Linked DNA regions of Mus musculus. The protein of the gene in region 2 interacts with the protein of the main gene of each other region in a biochemical or structural test. Links are inferred from orthologs where the notes say so. Each region holds a gene or a part of one and is shown on either strand. Other genes may lie near its edges.

Region 1 (5,555 bases), on a different chromosome or scaffold from region 2:
ACACGTTCTCTCCACATTGGCATTGAGAAGATTCCCCCTATATGGTAGAACAGTTAGGTGCCAGGCAGCTTGGAAGAAATGGCATTCTGGAAAAATCTTGTACATCTTTACAGTAAGGTGTTTCTTTCTCCATGCTAGGCCTCGCAGGAAGTTGGGTTGCTGATTGGTGAGATGAGTAAATGGAGATGCATTTTCTGTGCAGTAAGTTGAAAGGAAATACTCTGGAGAGAGTGCCTCGATTCTGAACGGGTCTCCTTAGCTTCGTGTCCTGTCAGTTTAGCGACTAAGCTTGCTTTCAACATTGAGCTGCACTAAGATACACATGCTTGTTAGTGTGAGAGGTGGACAAATTATAGGTGACGGGTTTGCTGCTGTCTGCCAGCGTGGAAAAGTTTGGTGGAACTACAGCTGAGACTGAGTAAAAGCCTTGGCCTAGACATCAAAGCTGGAAGCAATTTGGTACTGTAGTTCCTGGTGAGCAGCTGTGGACCACTCTCTGGTATCACAAAGCCCCTAGTACTTCTCTTAGTCTGGGACATGCTGATGAAGAAGGGCTTTATGACAGAAACTGCAAATCCTGTGTTACAGAGCAAGCAGTGTCCAGCATCTACTCCTGAGGATGTATAGGGGAGTCATTTGGGAACCTGTGACATCGCCCAAAAAGACCTCTGTGATCTATTCCACAAGGGTACCACCGGTCCCAGTGTCAGCATGACCAGACACTTCTCGGTATAGGCAAGAGAGTGTACACTCACCTGAATTGCTTTGTTCCGCTGTTGCTGTTGATTGCTGTGCTGCTTTAAAAAGACAGCTCCTGGGAGGATCTCCAGCACCTTCCGCCGAGGATCTTTACCTGGTTTTTCTTTCCTCAGTTCTGAAAGCTTGGCCTTTTGGGAAAGAGCTGTCAGCAAGAGAAGATGGCTAACAAGACAGTATAATAGCCTTCCCATTGGCCCATCACACAAAGCTAGGGGGTATCTGCTTCATCTTCAGCATAGAAATACTTTGCAGAGAGAACCCTCAGCCTTGTGTGAAGGTGTGTCAAGTTTTCCTATGCTCTGTAAGCACTGGAAATGTCACTTAATTCAGAGTTGCCTGGAATTAGGCATGTGAGTTGGGCATGTTTTTCACGTGTGCTTGCAAATGAGGCCAGGGGAGGGGAAAACAAGTCCATCCTTGCGGCTCTCTGTTTAGGCAGAACAGCCGAGGGTAGGCATGGCAGGATTGCTTGCTCTAAGACTCCCCCGTTCTGCTAGTTAAATTGGGTCTGGAACCACCACAGAAATTCCATCCACTGCTTGGAGAACAACAGTCCCCAGCCCAGGCTTTCTACCAGGCAGTGGCCTGCCGCCTTTCGTAGCCGAGCCAACTTCTAACTTGGCTGGCTCCCCAGATGAGAAGCCAAGATTTCTGCTCATGGTCTACGGCCAAGTTCACTACAGTCTTCCAACCAAACGACTTGTTGTCCATCTGAGTCCTTTCAGTGCTCAGCAAACGGGAGGGGGTGGTGCATCTTGTGGGATGATTTTGTTGTTTGGTTAAACTTAGCTCCTTGCTTGCAGCACAGGCCCACAGGAAACCAAGACCAACTTAGCTCTAACTGCTTGGGATTTTTAGGGTTCTCCCAAAAAGAAAACAGACAATTAGGATTTTATTTGTATTAACAGGAGGGATTGTGGGTAACTGGGGTCACTGCTTCCGTGCACAGCTCTTAAGCTGGGAGGAGGGCCAGGAGTCAGGGTGATTTAGTAGACAGGAGTATCTTGGACTGCTGCTGAAGACCAATTGATTTGCATGTAAATAGACCATCTTGGAAATTAGAGTAAACACCAGAGGTCTAGTCCATGCCAAATGCTGGTCCTAGGTCTCTTGGGCTCCTCAGGTACGGATTGTGACAGGCCAGTTTACCTCAAGCTGTCTCACACTGCCGCTGGAGGGTGGCTGTAGTTATCTTGCCCAGTGTTGTATAATATCCTCTAACCTCAGGTACCTGGTTTTTCAAGCTTAATTGTCCTTTCAGATTCCTTTTCTATTTTCCATATAACTAGTTGAGAAAATATTTTGCTTAACAGTGAACTGAGGTTTGAGAAGGGTTAACTTTACAAGTCCTTCAGGACAGTGGCTGTAATGGGGATTTGTAGCCGATTAACAACTGTAGATAGGCACCTAGGGATCAGGAGAAAAGTGCAGACCTCAGTGAGTCACAGACTTTAGAATTTGATAGGAGAAGAATTTCAGGTCCTTTTCTTCTCATGGCTCTGTCTGATTCTGTCTGACCATCTTTTCTAGTACAAGGATTCTTTGAAAGCAGCATTTAACTTGGTTTTCTCTTGTTGCTGCATTTTCAAAATTCCTGGCGCTCTGGGCTTAGTGGCCAGGTCACTCTAATGTGTACATAGGTTCTTTAGGCTAGCCTAGCCCAGCCTGCTCTAGTCAGGGTAAAATCTCAAAGAGTGTGTGTGTCTATAATGCCTGAAGTGTAGGTGTGGTGAAGTTTTTGCTGAAATAGGTCCTTGTGTTCTGTTCAGAGGGAGATGAAGCTCCTTAGCACGGTGCCCTGCTCTCTTTCCTTTCCTGATTGGTTGGCAGTCCTGGCCCAACAGCTGACTGTTTATAATTCCAAGCAGGAAAGGTTAAAGGCTGGTTAGGTTAGGGTATTTAGAAAACTGCCAAATGGGCCTGCCCTGCTGCAGGGGCCTGAGGGACTTTACCAAGAGCATGTAGGGGTCAGAAGGTCTGCTGCCCAAGAACTGCCTTTCTGGCTCAGTCTGTGTGAGAGGAAACTGAATGTAATTGACAGTCTGTCAGCTCTGCCATAATGAGCTCAGGTGCAACTGTGTTTTCTAGAGGATTGGTGCTCTCTTGTATGACTTGATAAGAGGATATGCTAGTGACCTTTATCAGGAGGGTGTCAGCGGAGCCTCAGGATGATGGGTTTCCTGTGGACAGAAGCAGCCCACGCCCCAAGTCTCACGGTAGAGGTAACCATAGCTTATGAAGTGCCCGCTGGAGCTTCCCTTAGTAACATTCCAACCACAGACTGGCAGCTGCTCCATCGTGTAGGTTGGGGACACTCACTGGAGAGTCACTCTTTGTCCCTGAATAACTTTGATTTTCCTTGTGCATGAGCTGGAGTCATCGTGCTACTTTGGATGTTCCTGTTGCAAGCCTTGCTCACCCTTTCTCCCCTTTAACAGAGCCTAATTCTGGAGACTCCTTCCTAACTACCCACCTCACAACAAATTTTCCCAGTCCACTTGCCAGGGACAGCGCTGACTGCACACACTTCCAGGCTTGGCCGCATCCACCTGTAAAGAAGTACACTCCTGACATGCTCTTTCTTCACTCTCCTAGGCTGACAAGCGGGCTCACCATAATGCACTGGAACGAAAACGTAGGGACCACATCAAAGACAGCTTTCACAGTTTGCGGGACTCAGTCCCATCACTCCAAGGAGAGAAGGTGAGTTTATTGACAAAGCCAGTTGGCCCATCAGCAGCTTGGAACGGACTAGAACATCCCTTCTGTAAAGAAACACAGTCAGGTGGCATGGTCTCTCTCTTTTTTCTTTTCTTTTCTTTTTGATTCTTTGGAAGATCCCCACACATTCTTAATTATCTTTAGCAAAAGCAATGTCAGCTCTAATAGCTCTTGTCAGGACATCCCTTTCAGAGTTGGAGATGCTGTAGTCCATTCCTTTTTTATTTGGTAGTGCTGGGCTTGAACCCAGGGCCTTGTACATGCTAAGCAAATAAATTAGTCACTCATGACATTACTATAACTATATCCTGTACTATGTAACATGGTCCATAATTAGTTTGGGATCACTAAAGATTCTCCCAGGCCAGCAACACCCTAAACCTCTGTGGGAATTTCTCTTGTGCAGTTCAACATTAGTACTTACTTGGTGTAAATGAACACTTTGAAGCAGGTCTGTGAACTGCCTGGGCACCAGTGATTTTCAGTTCTGACACATATTCTTCCCAACATATGTAAAGAGCATTGTTAGCTGTGGACCAAAAAAGTGAGACATGTTCATATGAGAGAGAATAAAGCAGTTATTCTCATCCTTCCTGGTGGCCTTTTGAAGCTTGTATTTTCCCTGGAGAGGTAGGAGCCAGCTGTTTCTAGCTTCAAAACCCAAAAGCTTTGAGCAAAAGCCTGTGGGTTAGGGTCACTCCTTAGAATAAAGAAAAAAACATTTGTTTGCACAGTTAGTTCTACCCTTGACACAGTGTAGCAACAGGCTGCTTTTTGTAGCCCCCTGGGTCAGCTTGTTTGAAAGAGCCTCACTGTATAGTCAGACTGGCCTGAATCTGGGATTCAGCCCATCTAGCCTGTTAGCATTACACCTAGCTTAAGGAACACGATTTAATAAAACGGTGTTTACTCTAGGTATGCTTCAAATGGCTTTACTGCTTTGGTTCTCTGCTAAGTGTCCTGAATTTGCTTTGTTATCCAAGATTACGTTTTTCATGTTTATAAAAAGTTGAAAAGCTATGTTTTCTATTTTGTCTATAATGTGGCCTTCTGTGTGGTTGAAGTATGGAGTAAGTCTAAGCTTACAGGAAAACACAAATAGGCCATGTGAATGCCGTATTACAAAGCCAGAATTTTGCTGTACGTTAAGCCCACTTGGTATATACTTGATTTAATGGCCTTGAACCAAGGTACTTACCGGAATAACAGCATTCCTGAGTATAACACTGAGCACCACAGGAAATCTTTATGACTGAGAGACGCACCCTTTGTGCAAGAGATTTATCTCTGATGCATACCTGACCTGCGGACACTTGGTGCTTATTCCGTATGCTAGAGTGTCAGCATCACTTGGTGAGCTTCTGGGCTAGAGCTGCCTTCATCTAAACCTGGGGCTGGGGATGTGCTTCTCAGTGGGAGGGCTGTGACCCGCCCACTTCCAGAGCCACATGAACTCCTGGGGTAAGCCAGGCAGGCAGGCTCATCTGAGGAGTTCTGAAGAGTGAGACCACTGAAAGTGTAGCTCACGAGCCACAGCTGCAGCGCTTCCTTCCTTGGCCTCTTCCCTTGCTGTTACATTCTTCCTTAACACCTTACAGGTTTACGATACTAGGTCCTCTTGCCGCGTTTCTTTGAGGAAGTTGAAGTTTGACTTTGCTAGCTTACAGATGGGATGAGTAGTTTGTCATCCGTGGTCCTTTCACCTACTCCATTCAGCAAACATCCTTGCAGGGTCTACACACACCAGCTACTGTTCTTAACAAAAATAGATGTTTTATTTTAGCAAGGAAATAATAGAAATTAAATAATCACTAAAATTAGGAATACTGGCTAGGCATGGTGATAGCAGATACCTTTAATCATAGCAATTGGAAGGCAGGTGGATCTTTTTAGTTTAAGGCTGGTCTGGACTACATATTAAGTTCCCGAATCGCCAGGACTCTGTGTATGCTTGCATGTGCATGTGCATGCGCTATGGAGGAGATTAAGGTGGGGCGGTTGGTGGAACAGATAGATCCCATTGGCAAGATGGCCTTTGGGCAGATTTCATGGTCGTGAAGAACTATTTGTCTGGC
Region 2 (5,092 bases):
TAACTCTTACAGAGGGGAGGCTATACCAGCCCTGCTGCTCAGCTCCCGAGGGCCTGAGCCCTGTCTTTTTATAGTTTTTACTGCACTTTCATCTAGTGTGTATGTGCACAGGTAGAGGCTAGAGAGCCACTTTTAGGAGTTGGTTTTCGCTTCCACTGCTATGCCCAGTTCCAGCTCAGGCTTAGCTGCAGGCACCTTCACCCACTGAGCCATCTTGACAACCCCTACGAGCCCTAGCTTATCTGCTCTGGGGTTGGCTCTGTTGCCTGAAGCCCTTCTGGTAGGTGCGACTCACCTCTATCAGAGTCAGAGCGCTCCGAAGACACCACAGAGCCCACGCTGTCCATCCGAGTCCTCTCGGCACCCAGCTTCTCCAGCCGCCGCTTCAGGTGCCGCTGTTCCCGCTGAAGCTGGTCTATTTGGTGGACAGCTTTTCTGTCACAGTCTTCAAGTTTCTGCAAGTCAAAGGGGTGGTTGTTGGAGCCAATGGGTATTCTACACAAGCAAAGAGCCTGTACCTGCCCCAACAGCAGGAAAATGCGCTAAGCATCCCTGGGAGGCAGGTGGTGTGTCCCTTGTAATCTCTCCTAGAGCAGGAGTTGGCTGGCCAGTCACCATGGGCTCTGGCTAACGTCAGCAGTCATGTGCTGTGGGGCTGGCCTGTCATGGAGATGCAGGGAGAATTGGACAGTTTCAACCACCATCTGAACACCTCTCAGAACTGAAAGACACATGGCACATGAGCTACAAAACTCTTCTGTTTAAAAAGAGGTTTATCCCAGCACAGTCCCCAGTACAAAGTGAGTTCTCATGCTACAAAAACCCCAACTAACTTCTGTTGTTACCAGGAGAGCAGAGCCATGTTAAAGTCCTGGCTTGGAACTGTCCAGAGGCATCTGGACATATGATTCCACAGACGACTTATTCCTACAAATCTGCCCCCAGCTCTCCAATTCGGCAGATAATTAACGAGAGTGTTTAATTGTGGCGGTTTTGCTTCCAACTGAGGCTCTCCCAGGGCTGTGTGTACTCAGGCTGCTAGCTGTTAGTAAGCTGGTATGTGTCGAACCAAGCTATTGCTGAATGGTGATGCTGGCTCTGGCTCAGTAGCACACACAGAGTCAGCAGAGAGAGATCAGGTGGTGCTTGGGACACATGTATGTACAAAGACCTGGTTCCCCCATGGAGCTACATTACAATTCTGGAAACACCCAGCCACCACATAGGACACTGATAGATGTGGCCCATGTCAGTCAGTGAGTCAGGGATCCCACTCAGGAAAGGGCAGCGGAGACTTCTGGCACTGGGAGCCAGCCCTGTACAGAGACCTGCAGCATGAGGAAAGGCTATGCATAAAGAAGTGAGGGCAAGGTACCACAGAAGGAATGGCAGGTATGATGGCCCTGCCTCTAGAACACAACAAGACAGGAATGGAGAGGGCTGCAGTAGGCAGCATACCCTGCCATGTGGCTACAGGGGCAGGAGAGTGACAGTTTGTCCCACGTCCCTGAAGCATTTAGAGTAAGTGAGCTACAATGGGTTTGCTTCCTAGGGTACAGCAGATGTGTGTGTGTGTGTGTGTGTGTGTGTATGTGTGTGTGTGTGTGTGTGTGTGTGTGTGTGTGTGTGTGTGTGTGTGTGTGTGTGTGTGTTATACAGCATGTAGGAGACTGTGGGTTCTCCTTCAGGAGAAAGTGGTGGGTGCAAACAGGGGCAGGTCAGGCTGTGAAATGCTTAGGTCCTGGTGATGGTGGGGAGCCCAGTGGCTAGAGGCACCAGGGCCTGAATTTCTGACTGGACCCTTTAACTGGGTTTGGGAGGCAGGTGGGAGGAGCCCAGAGACCATCCTGGAGACACATTTCCATCTATCTGTCCTTCATGCAGTCCCAACACCCTTGCCAGGTCAGAAGGGGCGGGGCAGCAGGTCAAGGCACCTACCTTTATATGCAATTTGGCTTTTGTCAGCAAGCTCAGAGTGGTGTGTCGGCTTGACTCAGGGCCCAGCGGTACCAATCCCTTTAGCTTCTCTAGGCACAGGCGGAGGTGAGCACGCCTGTAGAAACAGGAGCACAGAAGCACTTGAGACTCCCACAACAGGTTCTGAAGTGCATGAGTGCCCAGCCCAGCAAAAGCTGGAGCCAGCAATGACAGTGTGAGAGGTCAGGCACTTGCGCTGAACCCAGTGAGGAGCAGGACTAGGGGCTTCCAGGTTGATTCCATTTGTAATTCTGGGCATAGGTATAAGTAAAATCTGCTCTATTAGGATCTTTTTAAAGTCAGGTACTCCTGAGTCAGAAGATGACATGCCCTGAGAAAAGTCCTCAACCTGCATTTCTCTTTCTAAGTCACTGAATATATACCATTGTATCATTGCTGTGCACAGAATTTAAGTTTGGAGTTATTCACTGAGGCATAGAGATATATATATAGAGAGATAGAGACAGAGACATAAATTAGCAAAGGTGGACACAACCCAACCAGCCAGTGCTGGGAACTGGTCACTAAGCTCAGGTATAGTCACATAGGAGACGACTATGCCATTTGAAAAAGCCTGAGCCGGATCTCTATGGCAGCGATCTGAGCTGAGGACGCTGTCTGCACAGACAGGGCAGGAAAGCAAGAATCCACATGCATGTGCTTCTGTGGTCATGAGTCTTCAACAACTCATCAAAACCAGTGGTAGTGGCTGAAGAGAAGGCAGGCAAGCAGGAACATAAGGAAAGCTGGGAGGTTTTTTACTGAAAAACTTTTGGTTTTAGGTTTAGGTTTTTTTGACTGTACAAATCTGTTATTCTAACAAATATATATTTTTCACATATGGGACAAGTTTATCCTGGGCAATGCTAACAAATGTGTGACTGGGAGGACCCCTCTCTCATCCTAAGTGTGCTGGACAAAGGCCAATGAGGAGAGACCACAGCCACACCAGATCCTGTGTCACAGCGTGACCAGAAGCATAAGAAACCCCAACCCTGGACTTCATACTTCAATGAAACCTAGACTTGGGTCTTCACCCTGGGATGGAATACGAGAGACAGGCAACTCTGAGGGTTCCTGTGTAGGTCCACCACCTCCTTAAAGCCCTCCTGAGCACAGGGAAGCCTCGTTTTGGGGCTTCCCTGCAGACTGTGTCTGTCCCTCAACCCTTCTTTCAAACTCTTTGGGAAGCAGAGCTGCAGCTAACTCACTCACTGAACGAATGGATGATGGCGTCAGCAGTTCCAGTGGACTTTAAGCTTCTCGAAGACAGAGTCCATCTCTGTCTTCTACCCAGAGCCTGGCCTTGGACAATGCCCATTCCAGCACACAGCCAGCTAGACGGAGTGCCTGCAGCCACGGGGAACAGTGCAGGGCCTCCGGGGGCAGCACTGGGAAGTGTGGCTCAGATCTCAGTAGGCACCAGCTCTGAGCTCAGGGAGCACACCACCCTGAGGTGGCAAATGGAAAGGTCTGGATGCTGGCTGGCAAGAGCTGCCCTGTGGACGAGCCCACACTAAAGACTCAATAGCACCGGGGCCAGGAGGAGCAGAAGCTATGAGTACCAATCATGCTGTCAGAGTACTGCAAGCTACAGTGCACATGTAGGAAGTGCTACAGTGAAACTGAAACTGGCCAAGTCACACACTAGAAAATTAATACCAAGGACACTCCGTGAGGGCTGGAGGCAGCTCAGTGGTTAGGGCACTTGCTCTTCCAGAAGACCTGGATTTGGTTCTCAGCACCCATGTTGGGCAACTCACAACCAGTAGAATCTGATGCCTCCAGTCTCCACACACAACTGCACTTACATGCACATACCCACACACAGGCATGCATCTTAAAAATCTAGAAAGGAAAAAAATATGAAAAAGTACAACTGGTGACTATATGGTTACTTGACTGACTTGCACCTCTCACTCTAAAGTTTACAGATTAATTAATTATATAAAGATGCTTATCAGCCCGCTCACTACGAAAAGACTACAGGGAACAAGTCTATTATACTGTCCTCTTGTGATGTGGTCACACCTGTGACTGTCCCCCTGGGCCATCTTACTGTCACATTAGACAGTATTCTGTTACCAAGAGTGGCCTTTAGCTCCTGTCCCAGCAGGAGAAGGTGGTGCTAAACACTGGCTCCTGTTACCCCTTCGGCCTGTGTCTAGCAGAACCACACTGCCTTGAGCCTAGGTAATAAACTTGGCCAGCTGCAGGCCCCTCCTCCAGAGAAGTGCTGTAGCATGTATAGACAAAAGGCTTGGGTCTATAGCAGCTGGAGAAGCCACACTTCTACACTTATCAGCCCCCCTCCTCTAGGTCAGCAAGCACCCAGGCTATCTATCTATCTATCTATCTATCTATCTATCTATCTATCTATCTATCTATCTATTATGACTTTCACCATTCAATTGCTAAATAACTCAACTTTAGCAGAGGGGCAGGGTGGAGGTTGCTCTGCCACTTAGTTCTCATGTGACCTGGAACTCCACCGCCTCAGTTTCCTTATCTGTAGACCGTGGGACAGAGCCTACCCTAGAGAGCCTCTGTGATACTGGGAGCAGAGGGTCCGATACATTGTATCCTTACACAAGGCTAGCGGTATTGGACAAACACTGCTTCAGTCTTCTCAAGCAGCAGCAAGCTCAGGGTCCTCATCAGCAGGAGTGAGCGATAAAATACTCAGAACTGACATCTTGTGTCCTTGAAACATCTAGTAAACAAGCTAAGCCTTCTGTGGAAATACAGATATTGCTTATGTGGCAGGAAAATATGAACAAAGCCTTTATAAGCTAGTGAGGGTAACGAGGTCCCTCTGAGGTCACGTGTCTCATGTGGCAGCAGGATCCAGGTCAGGAGGGAGGCATGTGCCTCACTTTGCAGGCTACAGGCTCTGGCGTTCTGAAACACTCCCCTCTTCCCCCAAGGCCTTCACAAAGCAAAAGGTGGACTCAGACCTCGATGCACAGCCACACACACTTGGAGAGCTTACAACTCCTCCCAAAGCAAGAGGAACGGTACCACAGTTAGGAGTGAAATTAAAACAACCCGAGAAGGACTGACGGGAAGAAAACTATCAAATATTGCTGAAGGACAGGAAAATCTGAGTGAATGG

The links. The genes of interacting proteins can lie anywhere in the genome.
Region 1: the proteins of Mxd1 (region 2) and Max form a complex in vitro, tested with the Homo sapiens proteins (4 studies listed by BioGRID, with this or other methods). The link is inferred for Mus musculus from reciprocal best matches to the Homo sapiens genes MXD1 and MAX.

What each region holds. Positions count from the first base shown.
Region 1 is NC_000078.6:76,951,076-76,956,630, reverse strand, and holds part of Max (protein max), read left to right. Parts: intron 1-3,354; coding exon 3,355-3,462; intron 3,463-5,555. UniProt on the Homo sapiens protein: Transcription regulator. Forms a sequence-specific DNA-binding protein complex with MYC or MAD which recognizes the core sequence 5'-CAC[GA]TG-3'. The MYC:MAX complex is a transcriptional activator, whereas the MAD:MAX complex is a repressor.
Region 2 is NC_000072.6:86,651,147-86,656,238, forward strand, and holds part of Mxd1 (max dimerization protein 1), read right to left. Parts: exon of another isoform or gene 2,808-5,092; intron 2,054-2,807; coding exon 1,939-2,053; intron 456-1,938; coding exon 296-455; intron 1-295. UniProt on the Homo sapiens protein: Component of a transcriptional repressor complex together with MAX. In complex with MAX binds to the core DNA sequence 5'-CAC[GA]TG-3'. Antagonizes MYC transcriptional activity by competing with MYC for MAX binding.